Linked DNA regions of Schizosaccharomyces pombe. The gene in region 1 interacts genetically with each later gene. Each region holds a gene or a part of one and is shown in the gene's direction. Other genes may lie near its edges. The genes, in order: zrg17, ubp2 and php3.

Region 1 (3,760 bases):
TGCGCACTGCCGAGCCATCCCAGTATGTCAACGACGTAGAGGTTGCACGCAGAGCCCTACGCGATGCTCAAGCTGAACAAAGCAAGGTGGAGAGCGAGTACAACAGTGTTAAGGGTAGCAAATTGTATACCACCGAACCCGTTCATCCACACGCCGTTACCACTAATGAACCTACTGATGTTAGTACTAAGAGCAAGTCCGCCGCCTATCACTATCCTGCCACCACTGAGACTGTTTCAAGCAAAGCAGCCCGCTCTGCCACCACTCCTGCTTATGTTGGCGGTGCCACTAAAACTCCTAGTACGACAAAGGCTGTTGAATCTACTCCCAGCACCTTGCCTACTTCAGCTTCCACAAATGCTGCTGCTACTACTACCACTAAAAAGCCCAAGGCTGCCAAATCTACTGCTGTACGTGATGATGTTTCTTCTGCTTCTTCGGATAGCGACAAGGGTACCACCGGTTTGGGCAAATCTGAAAGCAAAAGTTCCCGCAAGGAACGTAGAAGCAGCACCAGCAGCGGTCATGGCTTGATGAACAATGTTCGTCATGCCTTGGGTATGTCCAACAAGTAAAGGGAATACTTGCAATATCAAAATTTTTGGACGTAACCTTCATTATCTCGTGAATCCGTTATGAAAAAAGGTTTTTATTGTATGGTTCTTATTTGAAAAAAAGGGACGACAACTTTTTGAGGGGAAAGTTGTCATCCTTTAAAGGTTGGTTCTTTATGATGGAAAGTACTGCGAATTGTTCGTAATTTATTAATGAGATTCTTTGTTTATACGAGTAAAGAAATTGAATGCGATGGATATAGAAAATGTAATGTAGCTTTAGTTTTAAGTAGTTTGATTGTCTGTGGTGGGTTGTATATGCTTGCTTTGGCCTTGCTAGATAATCAAAACAAGAAACAATATAAAATGTACAATAGAACTAACAGGTAAAAATAAATGTACAAAAAATAAATGATTTGAATTTTCTCGTACGAACATGTAAACAATTGAAAAAGACAAACAATCGAGACTTAGAAATACAATTGAAAATAAATAGACAGAGCAAGACAAACAGAGGTTATTCTTAATAAAATAGAGCAAATCTAGCACAATCCCCAATCCACCACGTCAAACAAGCTGTATGCTCACTTCAAATAGAAAGCTTTGAAAATCTTATGCGGTGAATCTTGTTCACTCGGTCGATGTGACCGGTGAGACAGAAGACTTTTTGTTCATGGCCTCACGCATGGATTCTTCAAGTTGATCTAAACGAGTTGACATCGTTTCCACTGTTAACATAAAAAGTTATGATTAGTAAAGCAAAATCTTTCATTATAAATTAGAGAATCGTACATTTCTCAGAGAATTGCTTTTGTAGGGTCTCAAAGTCGCCAGACTATAAAAATCTGTTAGAATGATTAACTAAGCACAATTCTTCTTCTTACAATATCCTCCAATAACTTATCAGTCTAAAAGTAAACAAGGTTAGATCATTAAAAAAAAAGAAAGACTAATCTTAAACGCACCAAAGTCGTGATCGCAGATGTGGATTGAGGATTTTTAGAATTCCCTCTAACAGACGCAGACATTGTAACCGAAAACCTTTTTTTTAATATGTATAGATGCTTCCTTCAGGTAATAAGAACTCACTTGTGAATACAATAGTTGGTATTTGGAAGAGAAATGGAAGAAGTAGGTAAAATAGTTGATGGAACTCAGCTAGGAACCTCTGCGTAATGTTATTTACCTACACATAATTATTTTTATTATTTTACCAAGTGTATTTATTGTCTTATCGAGTACATGTGGAAAAGTCGTAGAAGGAGAATTCAGGCCCTTGGAGTGGCCTTTTTTTTATAACTTAATGATGATTTTATTTTTAATTAAACGAATTAAAAAAATTACTCATAATATCCTTGTATGGATGACTTTGAGCCGCATGTTTGAACCCTATATATATGGCGTTCCACGATGGCTCTGAAAGGTAAGTTTGTTCATCTTTAACCGTTTTCTACTAAGCGTTTTTTATTCCTAGTCACTAAAAAGTAGATGTCTCAAAGATGGTACAACACTATGGCTTTTTATAATCATTTACTGATACAGTCAATATCTTTATCTTAGACTGTTGCAATTTGGGCCTAGTACCAACTGGTCTTACCCATCCACTCCACCAAACGCATGGGTGAGTGAGTTTTTAAAAAAGCCATTATAGAATTGTTGAAAGTATATCTAAATGAATGAAAAATGACTCAAAATCATAACATCCCGACTGCTATTCAGATTCAAAACCCTATAAATAATAATGTCTCTGTAACTATTAGTGATCAGTTACCAAAACCGAGTGCGAATAATCCCAACTTGTTAAGCGTGGATACTCGCCCTACCCACAGAAAAGGCCATCATCACAAACATTCGCTTTCGCATCAATATTTCTTACCACCCAAGAATCGACAGCCGTTAGAGATACCTGCCAGTTATCCCATTCCTACTTTTAAAGAAACATTCGCAATCCTTACTTTTCCTCAAAAACTAAAATTGACAAGCTCAATCCTATTCTTTTTGGTCGCCGTAGGGGTATTACTCTCGGGGGATGCTACTATCCTACTCACTTTATCTTGCTCTTTAATCGTAGAAGGTGTTTTAATCATTATCAACGTTTGGCGTGAAACATTGGATTCGTTCCTCGTCTGGCGACACACGTGTTTACGTTACCCATTTGGAATGCAACAAATGGAATTACTTGTTGATTTTTCCTTCTCAATCCTCTTAATCTTCCTCGGCATGAACCTCCTAAAAGAGCCTGCCGAACATGCTATAGAAGATTGGGGTAATCTCCATCATGCTGGCGATCATGAAGAAGAGACTGTACACATTCATTTAACCATTTCATTGTTTGCTTCGGCTATAATATCGGGATTTGCATTATTGTTGGATCACCCTAGTGCTCACATACGAGAACTCAATTCTCGCTTTTTCCATGGACTCACATTAGTACCTTCACTCATCCTCGTGTTGCTGTTAAGTCTTGGTTATCAAGTTGGTTCATTTCTCAGCCATTTGCTTTCCTTAACTATTGCTGTTACTGCCCTGGTGAATGGGTTCTCCATTGCCAAATCGCTTGCCTTAATGCTCTTGTTGACATACTCTAATAAAGAAAAGGTCTTTGAATGCGTCTCCCTTATAAAAGAGGATACACGAATTGACCAACTTAATTATGCTGCCATTTGGCAACCTCATTATAATACTTGTATTGCTAATATTGGCTTAACCGTTTCAGGAGGTGAACGAGAGCAGGCAGCAGTTCGTGAAGATATTATAAGGATTATACAAAAAACAGTAGGAAGCATATTTGGTGCTGGTGTTCAACCCAAATGGGAAATATCAGTAGATATCCAGAGAGCCTAATCGTTTTTTCCTATCTTACAACCAACCGTGTTTGTAACTCACTCGTTATATTTTTATTATCATTTAATGCATGCATATTTTATCAACATATGACATTATCCACCTTTGCGGAACTTTCGCTGTCTCGAACAGTTTGGATTCATAATCTAATAAATGCCATCCATATTTACTATAGAATTACCAACACCTTTTTCATTCTTTCCTTTAATTTATACCGCTTATTACAAATTATAAGGAGAATACAAACTCAAGATTTTAATATGAAATGAATAATTTTATTATTATAAATAAGGCATGTGTGGTCGTTGCATACTAAAAGGATCAAGTCTAACTAATAATAGAATGCGTATATAGAAGGTATT
Region 2 (3,760 bases), on another chromosome or scaffold:
GCGCGTCGTCGAATGGCAAAGATTCTGAGCCAGACAGGCAATTGTTTGTTGGTAACGTAAGTTCAATTTCTAATCCTCTATATTCTTTTCCTCGAACTTTGGTATTTTAATGAATTGTGGAATTGCAAATAAGAAATGGTACTAACGAGTATAGTTACCGTATAACGTTCGCTGGCAAGATTTAAAGGATTTGTTTAGACAAGCTGGTTCTGTTATCCGAGCTGATATCCAAATGAACCAAGAAGGCCGATCCCGTGGCATTGGGATTGTTGTCATGAGTTCGATGAAAGAAGCCATGCATGCCATTCAAATGTTGCATAACACTGATTTCATGGGCCGCACTTTAGAAGTTCGCCTAGATCGGTTTGCACATCATAAAAGTAAGCCGTATTCCACTCATGGAAATGGCTATACGTTTCCAGCGGAAATGCAAATGACTACATCATCCACCTATCTACCCATGTTAGGTGCTAATACTCAAGTCGAGGATTTAGTTTATCATGCGTATCCCCATGGACCCTGCTCGGATTGCATTTACGTTGGAAATGTATGTATATAAGGACGCTTTTGTGGGATTAGTTTTCCGCATCATTTTAAGTTTTTTTTGGAGATTACTGACTGAATATAGTTACCTTGGGCCACCTCAGATCGCAATTTATTGGACCTATTCACAGATATTGGCTCAGTCATTCGTGCCCGAATCGCCTATGAGCCCACTGGCCGATCTAAAGGTTTCGGTGTCGTTCAATTTGAGAATGAAAATGATGCAGCATCCTCAATTGAAAAATTAAATGGTTATCGTTATGGCGGGAGACCCTTGCAATTATCATACGCTCACTATGCGACTCCACTACCTGCTGTCCCTACTGTGCTCTCGGGTCTTCCTTCAGTCGCTTATACACCACCTGTTATGCATATCCCTACAACGAATTCACCACTAACGCCCCAATCTTTTACAAATTCTTTCTTAGGCTATCTACCGATTTCAATGCCCGTTGCAAACATGCCCGCTATTGCTCCTATTTCTGTAGCTTTACCCGAAAATAATATTGAACATTCTTTGGAGCCTTCTTAAAAATTCGCCAATACATCTGAACTTCTTTTCTCTTTACAATTAAGCACATTTCCGTAGTGTGAATGGCTAGCTCAGTGACGACATGCGCAATGTTCTAAGGCAGTTATCCTAATATTGTTTGCTTTTCTCTATTTTTTCTTCAAATTTTTGCTTTAATTCCTAATCCCCAAATATTCTTATTTTCCATGTTTATAGATTTATCTCTTTTGTTTGATTTCAATTTTTTGCTAAGATCTTATTCTTTTCCGTGACACACCAAAGTATGCTGATGGCATATATATTCGTCTCTCGTTCTTCTAATTGAAGTCTTTTTAATTTTAGCTTTACTGTTTTTTTACAGGATGCCTAGTTTCCTTCTTTTACAATTGCTAACCATTTCATGGTTTTAATGATATTTTAGATTTTTAGACTTCCATTCTGTTAACTTCCAGTTAACCAAGTTTAATCTTTATTGATTAACTACATTATTTTTAAAGTAAGGTGTATTTAGGTTAAAAATCTTATTTAAGCATAATGGTAAATTTCGTATAGCGAAATGTAGGTGTTGATTGTTTCTTACCTTCTTTAGTAGCCTTATCAATGAAATACAAACATTTACTTCTATCTTATTCCCCACATTCATAAAATTGATGGTCGCATACCTGGCTGGCATATGTAAGACGACAAGCATCATACGCATGAAGTCTACCTACCGAGTCCTTTACTCATGAAAAATCCTTCAATCTGTACGTTCTTTCCGTTTGGACGTTTTTTCAAGTATTTTTCATAATAAAAAATTTAAATTTCTTTATTAAAATTATTTACATCAAACTATAAAGAGGAATGGCAACTGTAAAGAACTTGCGAATTGGCAAAAGTCCTAATCGGTTGATTCAAGATTTAGACGTCTTTGATAGTCCATCAGCTGGATGGAATGATCCTTGGAGTCCTCATAGCTCAAGATATCACTGGCAGCTTCATTCAAATTTAGGCGAGTCCGCTGTATTTGACGAGAATGACTTTTGGTGTGTTTGTCAAAAAACTCGCAAACACTTACATGTGAAAGTCCGAAGAGACAGGGGGAAGCCATTAATTGAAGAGCCTGAAGAAAATTATGGAATAAAAGATAGGATTCCTGTTTACTACGAAGAAGAGGAATTACCTGAACCTCATGTGACTAGCCCTACGAAAAGTGAATTCGCTACTACCTCTACTTGTATGAAATGGAGTAGCAAAACAACAAAAAGTGAAATTGAAGTTGAATGGAGAGATAGCTATCTTGATGCTAATTGTATCAAAGAGATAATTGATTCCCGACGTCCATCATTTGCTTCCCTTTTAACTAAAAAATCGTCATCTCATCAAGGGTCATCCCATTCATCCCAACCTTCTCTTTTTACTACATTTACTTCTTTGGAGTTGTTTTTACGAAACGTGTTGGTCCATAACGATCAACGTGCCATTAGCGCTGCCCCGGAAGGAACTTTTGAGAGACATGTCGGAAAGGGCCGCCAAATTCAATCTTTGATGAAATCTCTTCTGTTTGAATATCACCACGAAAATGTAAATTATGTCCCTACCATTGCGGACGCTCCCCTTACTGACGAACAAAAACTTAATCTATACCTTGCTAGGAATGAACTTATTGTTTTGGCTAATCACTTTCGTGACACTAAAGAAGATCCGGCTATTGTTGCTAACCCTTTTCCCGTTAGGTTGGCTCGACCTGCTTTAATTAATGCCTTTGGCGTTCCTAACTATGATAGCGTGGTTCCCATGTATACCACAGTTTTTCGCGACAATTCGGCCTCCTTACCTGATGATCCTGCTTTTATAGCCTTGGGTATCACGAATGATTATCCAGACAGCTTTGTCCGTTATTTCTATGAGGAACAAAAAAAGAACGATGAAGCTAATGTTCGTGTTTATGCGGATGCGCTTGCTCATATATACAATTTACGTAAAAGCAGCTTTTTGAGAGATCTAATTGCGGCAGATAGGAAAAATGGAATCGTGTCGAGCGATGTAATACAAGCCGCTTATTCGAGTTTAGGACTTGAAGCTGAGGTAGGCCCGGATTACAGGTATAGTCAAGAAAAAATCTTTGAGGCGTTTCATTCTGCCCTCCTAAGAAAACCTGAATTTGCCAGAGCTATTAGGAACGATTTGGAGACTATTGGCTATGCAAGAAAGAGTTCTGAAATTTTAAATTATGTTTTGTCTACAGAACAGGCTTTTTATACGGTTAATGAAGCCTACCAATGGTTGGGCATTAAGTCTAACACCGAGGACGCCATGGTAGCTTCTGTGGCCTTAGTGAAATTTGAAGATGATAGCGACAAAGCCATCGAGGCCGTCAAATGGATAGCTGAAGAGAGAAATAGCTCCATTTTGTACGATTTCTTGGCTTCACAAGGTAGACCTTCCAACAAGAAGCCTAAAGAAGTGCCTATGGATGAAGATCTAGCTTACAACACATTAGGTGTTCAAGATCGTGCACTATCAGATGACGTTTTAATCAATGTATACGGCTTTGCTGTTGAAGACCACCCAGAGCAATCAGACACTTTGAGAGCAGCTTTGAAATGTATAGGAGAAGTTAGGAATTCGCGTTTAATCACTCATTATTTAGAACATGGAAATCTAGATATTCCACCAGAAGTTTCAAGTTTGGATACTCCGATCGGTTTGGAAAATACTGGTAAT
Region 3 (3,143 bases), on another chromosome or scaffold:
AAACTGCCATTATGTTCTACGTAAATTAGCCTGCGTCGAGGAAACGTAATGAATGGGCGGCTCAGCGTTGTATGGAAATAAGACTAGTTAAGTGTCCTTTAGTAATGCACTCGATTACTCTATGTGACGTCGAGAGGACGGAAGAGTAGGAATGATGGTAAAGGCAAAAAACATATTCGTTCTTTTGACAACACACAGCTCGCATCGCCTTCAATTACCCTTGCCAATGTTGCAAGTGATGATGGGTGAGATGGGATAGAAAGAGGAGCAAACTTTTAATCTGATATATCATTGATGTATAGGAAATGAGAAATAAAAATACAACTAGGTTTATAGTGCATTCCACTGTATAATATAAAGATTAGGATAGATACACATGACTTTTGAAGTGCAGAAGTATAGTCAAGTAGGGAATATAGTTGAGTAGATGCGAGTTGTAGAACAAAACAATTCAGTATACGCAATTTTCCCCTACGGGAACATATTTAGGTATGCGTGCGAATGGAGAGTGAAGATGAATGAAATGTAGAAAAAAAAAACACTGGATTGTCAGTTTTGCCATAAGATACATTTACTTTCTTGTTATTCCATTTTTCTACGAATCTTCTTTGCTAGGTTATTTTTATTAACTTTTTCGCAAACACGATTTTAATAACATTGAATTCCTCTTCAGTTATCAGATGTGAACGGTAAATACCAATTGTGAACTATTTCAAACGAACTTAATATTTGCTCTGTAAGTTGTAAAATAAATGTCTCATAATTATTTCGCTGTCAGTTTCCACAATCGCTTCTACTCTTTTTTTATATTTATATTTATATTTTTTTTTTGAATTAAATTAATTCATATTATTATTTATTTTTCTTGGTTTTCTAATGATATGTTTATGATATTTATAAAAGGATTTATTTATTTGCTTTTTGTATGAAGGATCGTCGCTTGAATGACAAAACACTTCTTTTGCTAGTCTCTCCTTTCCTCTTGTTTAACGTATATCACGATTATTTTGTCAGCGTAAAAGTGACATAGGGATTAGATGGCATCCCACTTTCTTTTTACTGGGAAACCTTGGCTTCAAGAGAAGACGCCTCGCCTTCACCTTCATCCCACTTGGGACCTTAAAGCTTCCAAAAGTCTTGCTCGTTTCCCTTATACGCCACTTGAAAGTCTTTTGGCCCCCATTTCGGCCTTTCACCCCACTTACCTAAATAGCGCAGCCCCGTCGAAGGCTCAGAGCCATCCAGTATTGCTCGCCGCTGGAGTAGGTGGAATAGTAGTTAGATGCCCCAGTCGGAAACCGATATATCGTACCACTCGAATTCAGTATCTCTTGTTAATCTCCCACTTTACAACTGCACTATTTAAATAATATTATAGGCCGATACAGTCAGTCTGCGAATTGCTTGCAACCTGTAGAAACAAATTGCTGTTTCTTTTGCAATAACATAGTGTTTCTTTATCGCAATAACCAACTACTGATTTCTTTCCCTATTGGAAGTAGATAGACGTTTACTTTCTTTTGTGAAGAAGCAGAAAGTTAACGTTAAGCCATTACCCTCGTTCATTGCTCAAAAGGAGGTCATTTCTTTTTATTTGATTTGTTCGTCTTTTAGGATCTTCATCTCCTGCTGAATTATTGGATTTCTTTTTAGTTCCCTCCACAAAGGCTCGAGAATAGGTTATCAGCTGTCGATTTTTGTCAAGGATCGTGCTTGCTAGTAGTCAAACCAATTTTAGCGGGGTTTGTGTACTTATTTTCGTTATTTGAGGTTTCTCTGCTCGCCAAAATTAAATTATACAAGTAAAAGATACATTTAATTATCATGAGCGCAGACGGGTTGGATTACACCAATCTCCTACCAATTGCAAATGTCGCGCGTATCATGAAATCGGCACTTCCCGAAAACGCCAAGATTTCCAAGGTATGCATGATTTGTTGAATTGAGAAAAATCGCATTGTCAGTCTCTTCGATTGATTGATTGCTAGTGACGGAGTAGGTCGCTGTGAGTGCGTTCTTCTCTTTTGTTTTGTAATTTTCATGTTGCAGTGCTAATGTCTGACTTTTTAGGAAGCTAAAGACTGCGTCCAAGATTGCGTTAGTGAGTTTATTTCCTTTGTTACTGGTGAAGGTATGGAATCAATAGCAAAAGCCTCATGTATAGTTATTTACTGACCATATAATAGCATCTGAACAATGCACTCAAGAAAAGAGAAAGACAATTACTGGTGAAGATGTTTTATTGGCTTTAAATACCCTTGGGTTCGAAAATTATGCCGAAGTTTTAAAGATTTCTCTCACCAAATACAGAGAGGTAAGGAAAAATTCTTTATTTGAATGGTGATACGTGTACTTCTACTTCCTTGTTGGCTTAGAGATTTAAATTGTCTCAAGCAATGAAGGCGCAACAATTCATTCACTCATACCAAAATTTCATTCTCATAGTCACTTTTCTAACATCTACTCTAGCAACAAGCAAGATCTGCTAGCATGAAAGAAACTAAACAAAGCCGGTCCGAAGAGCCTCAGTAATTTCCTTATATATTTTGCATTAGCGGGGTTTTCCCTGAAATATTTCCTGACTTTTGCAGCGATCGTCGATCGCCTTATTTGTTATTCCTCTCTCTTTTTGTACTCTCCTGTTTTATCTCTGTTTATCTTACAAATGATGCTAATTTACGAACTATGTTAATTTCTACTTTAACCAAGTTTCAAAGATAAGCACTATATTGCCAAAATGGCCTGTTCATATTTAAAACTTCCTTAATGTCGTCAGTATAAATTTAGCAATTACTATTGCCTGTTTACTTAAAGTGTATTATTGTGATTATCCCTCATTCGCTTTTGCTTACTTTTTCATTTTGTTAATCCTGCTACTGTTAACCTATATATTATTTTGAAAAAAATAGCATTTCATTTTTATTTTTACTCATTTCGTCTATTTCACCGAAATCAGCATAAGACACATATAGTCATTCGGTTCATGGAAGGATTAGCCGATGTTTCCGTAGTCATATACGTATCAATCAATAAATTTTCTTATTGTCAGGAAAGTGTTTAATCCTGCTGTAGCTAGTATGTAAATTACCTTCTCAGCGTACGGCTATATAATACCAGGGTCATTTTCCGTCCACCGATTCTAA

What was found.
Region 2: mutations in zrg17 (region 1) and ubp2 together harm fitness less than expected from each alone (positive genetic interaction), as found in Schizosaccharomyces pombe (one large-scale study listed by BioGRID).
Region 3: mutations in zrg17 (region 1) and php3 together harm fitness more than expected from each alone (negative genetic interaction), as found in Schizosaccharomyces pombe (one large-scale study listed by BioGRID).

Annotation. Positions count from the first base shown.
Region 1 is NC_003423.3:1,944,800-1,948,559, reverse strand, and holds zrg17 (Golgi zinc importer, CDF family, Zrg17), read left to right. Parts: upstream 1-2,153; 5' UTR 2,154-2,237; coding exon 2,238-3,398; 3' UTR 3,399-3,623; downstream 3,624-3,760. Other genes in the region: SPOM_SPBC16E9.15 (uncharacterized protein), read right to left, coding at 1,185-1,282, 1,347-1,389, 1,439-1,462, 1,520-1,582. UniProt on the Schizosaccharomyces pombe protein: Probable transporter involved in the regulation of zinc homeostasis.
Region 2 is NC_003424.3:3,485,428-3,489,187, forward strand, and holds the start of ubp2 (ubiquitin hydrolase Ubp2), read left to right. Parts: upstream 1-1,766; 5' UTR 1,767-1,897; coding exon 1,898-3,760. Other genes in the region: hrb1 (RNA-binding and mRNA export factor), read left to right, coding at 1-56, 155-547, 629-1,075.
Region 3 is NC_003424.3:2,143,857-2,146,999, forward strand, and holds php3 (CCAAT-binding factor complex subunit Php3), read left to right. Parts: upstream 1-1,824; coding exon 1,825-1,923; intron 1,924-2,070; coding exon 2,071-2,131; intron 2,132-2,186; coding exon 2,187-2,314; intron 2,315-2,469; coding exon 2,470-2,532; downstream 2,533-3,143. Other genes in the region: SPOM_SPAC23C11.07 (uncharacterized protein), read left to right, coding at 1,038-1,370. UniProt on the Schizosaccharomyces pombe protein: Belongs to a complex that binds to the sequence CCAAT located upstream of genes involved in mitochondrial electron transport.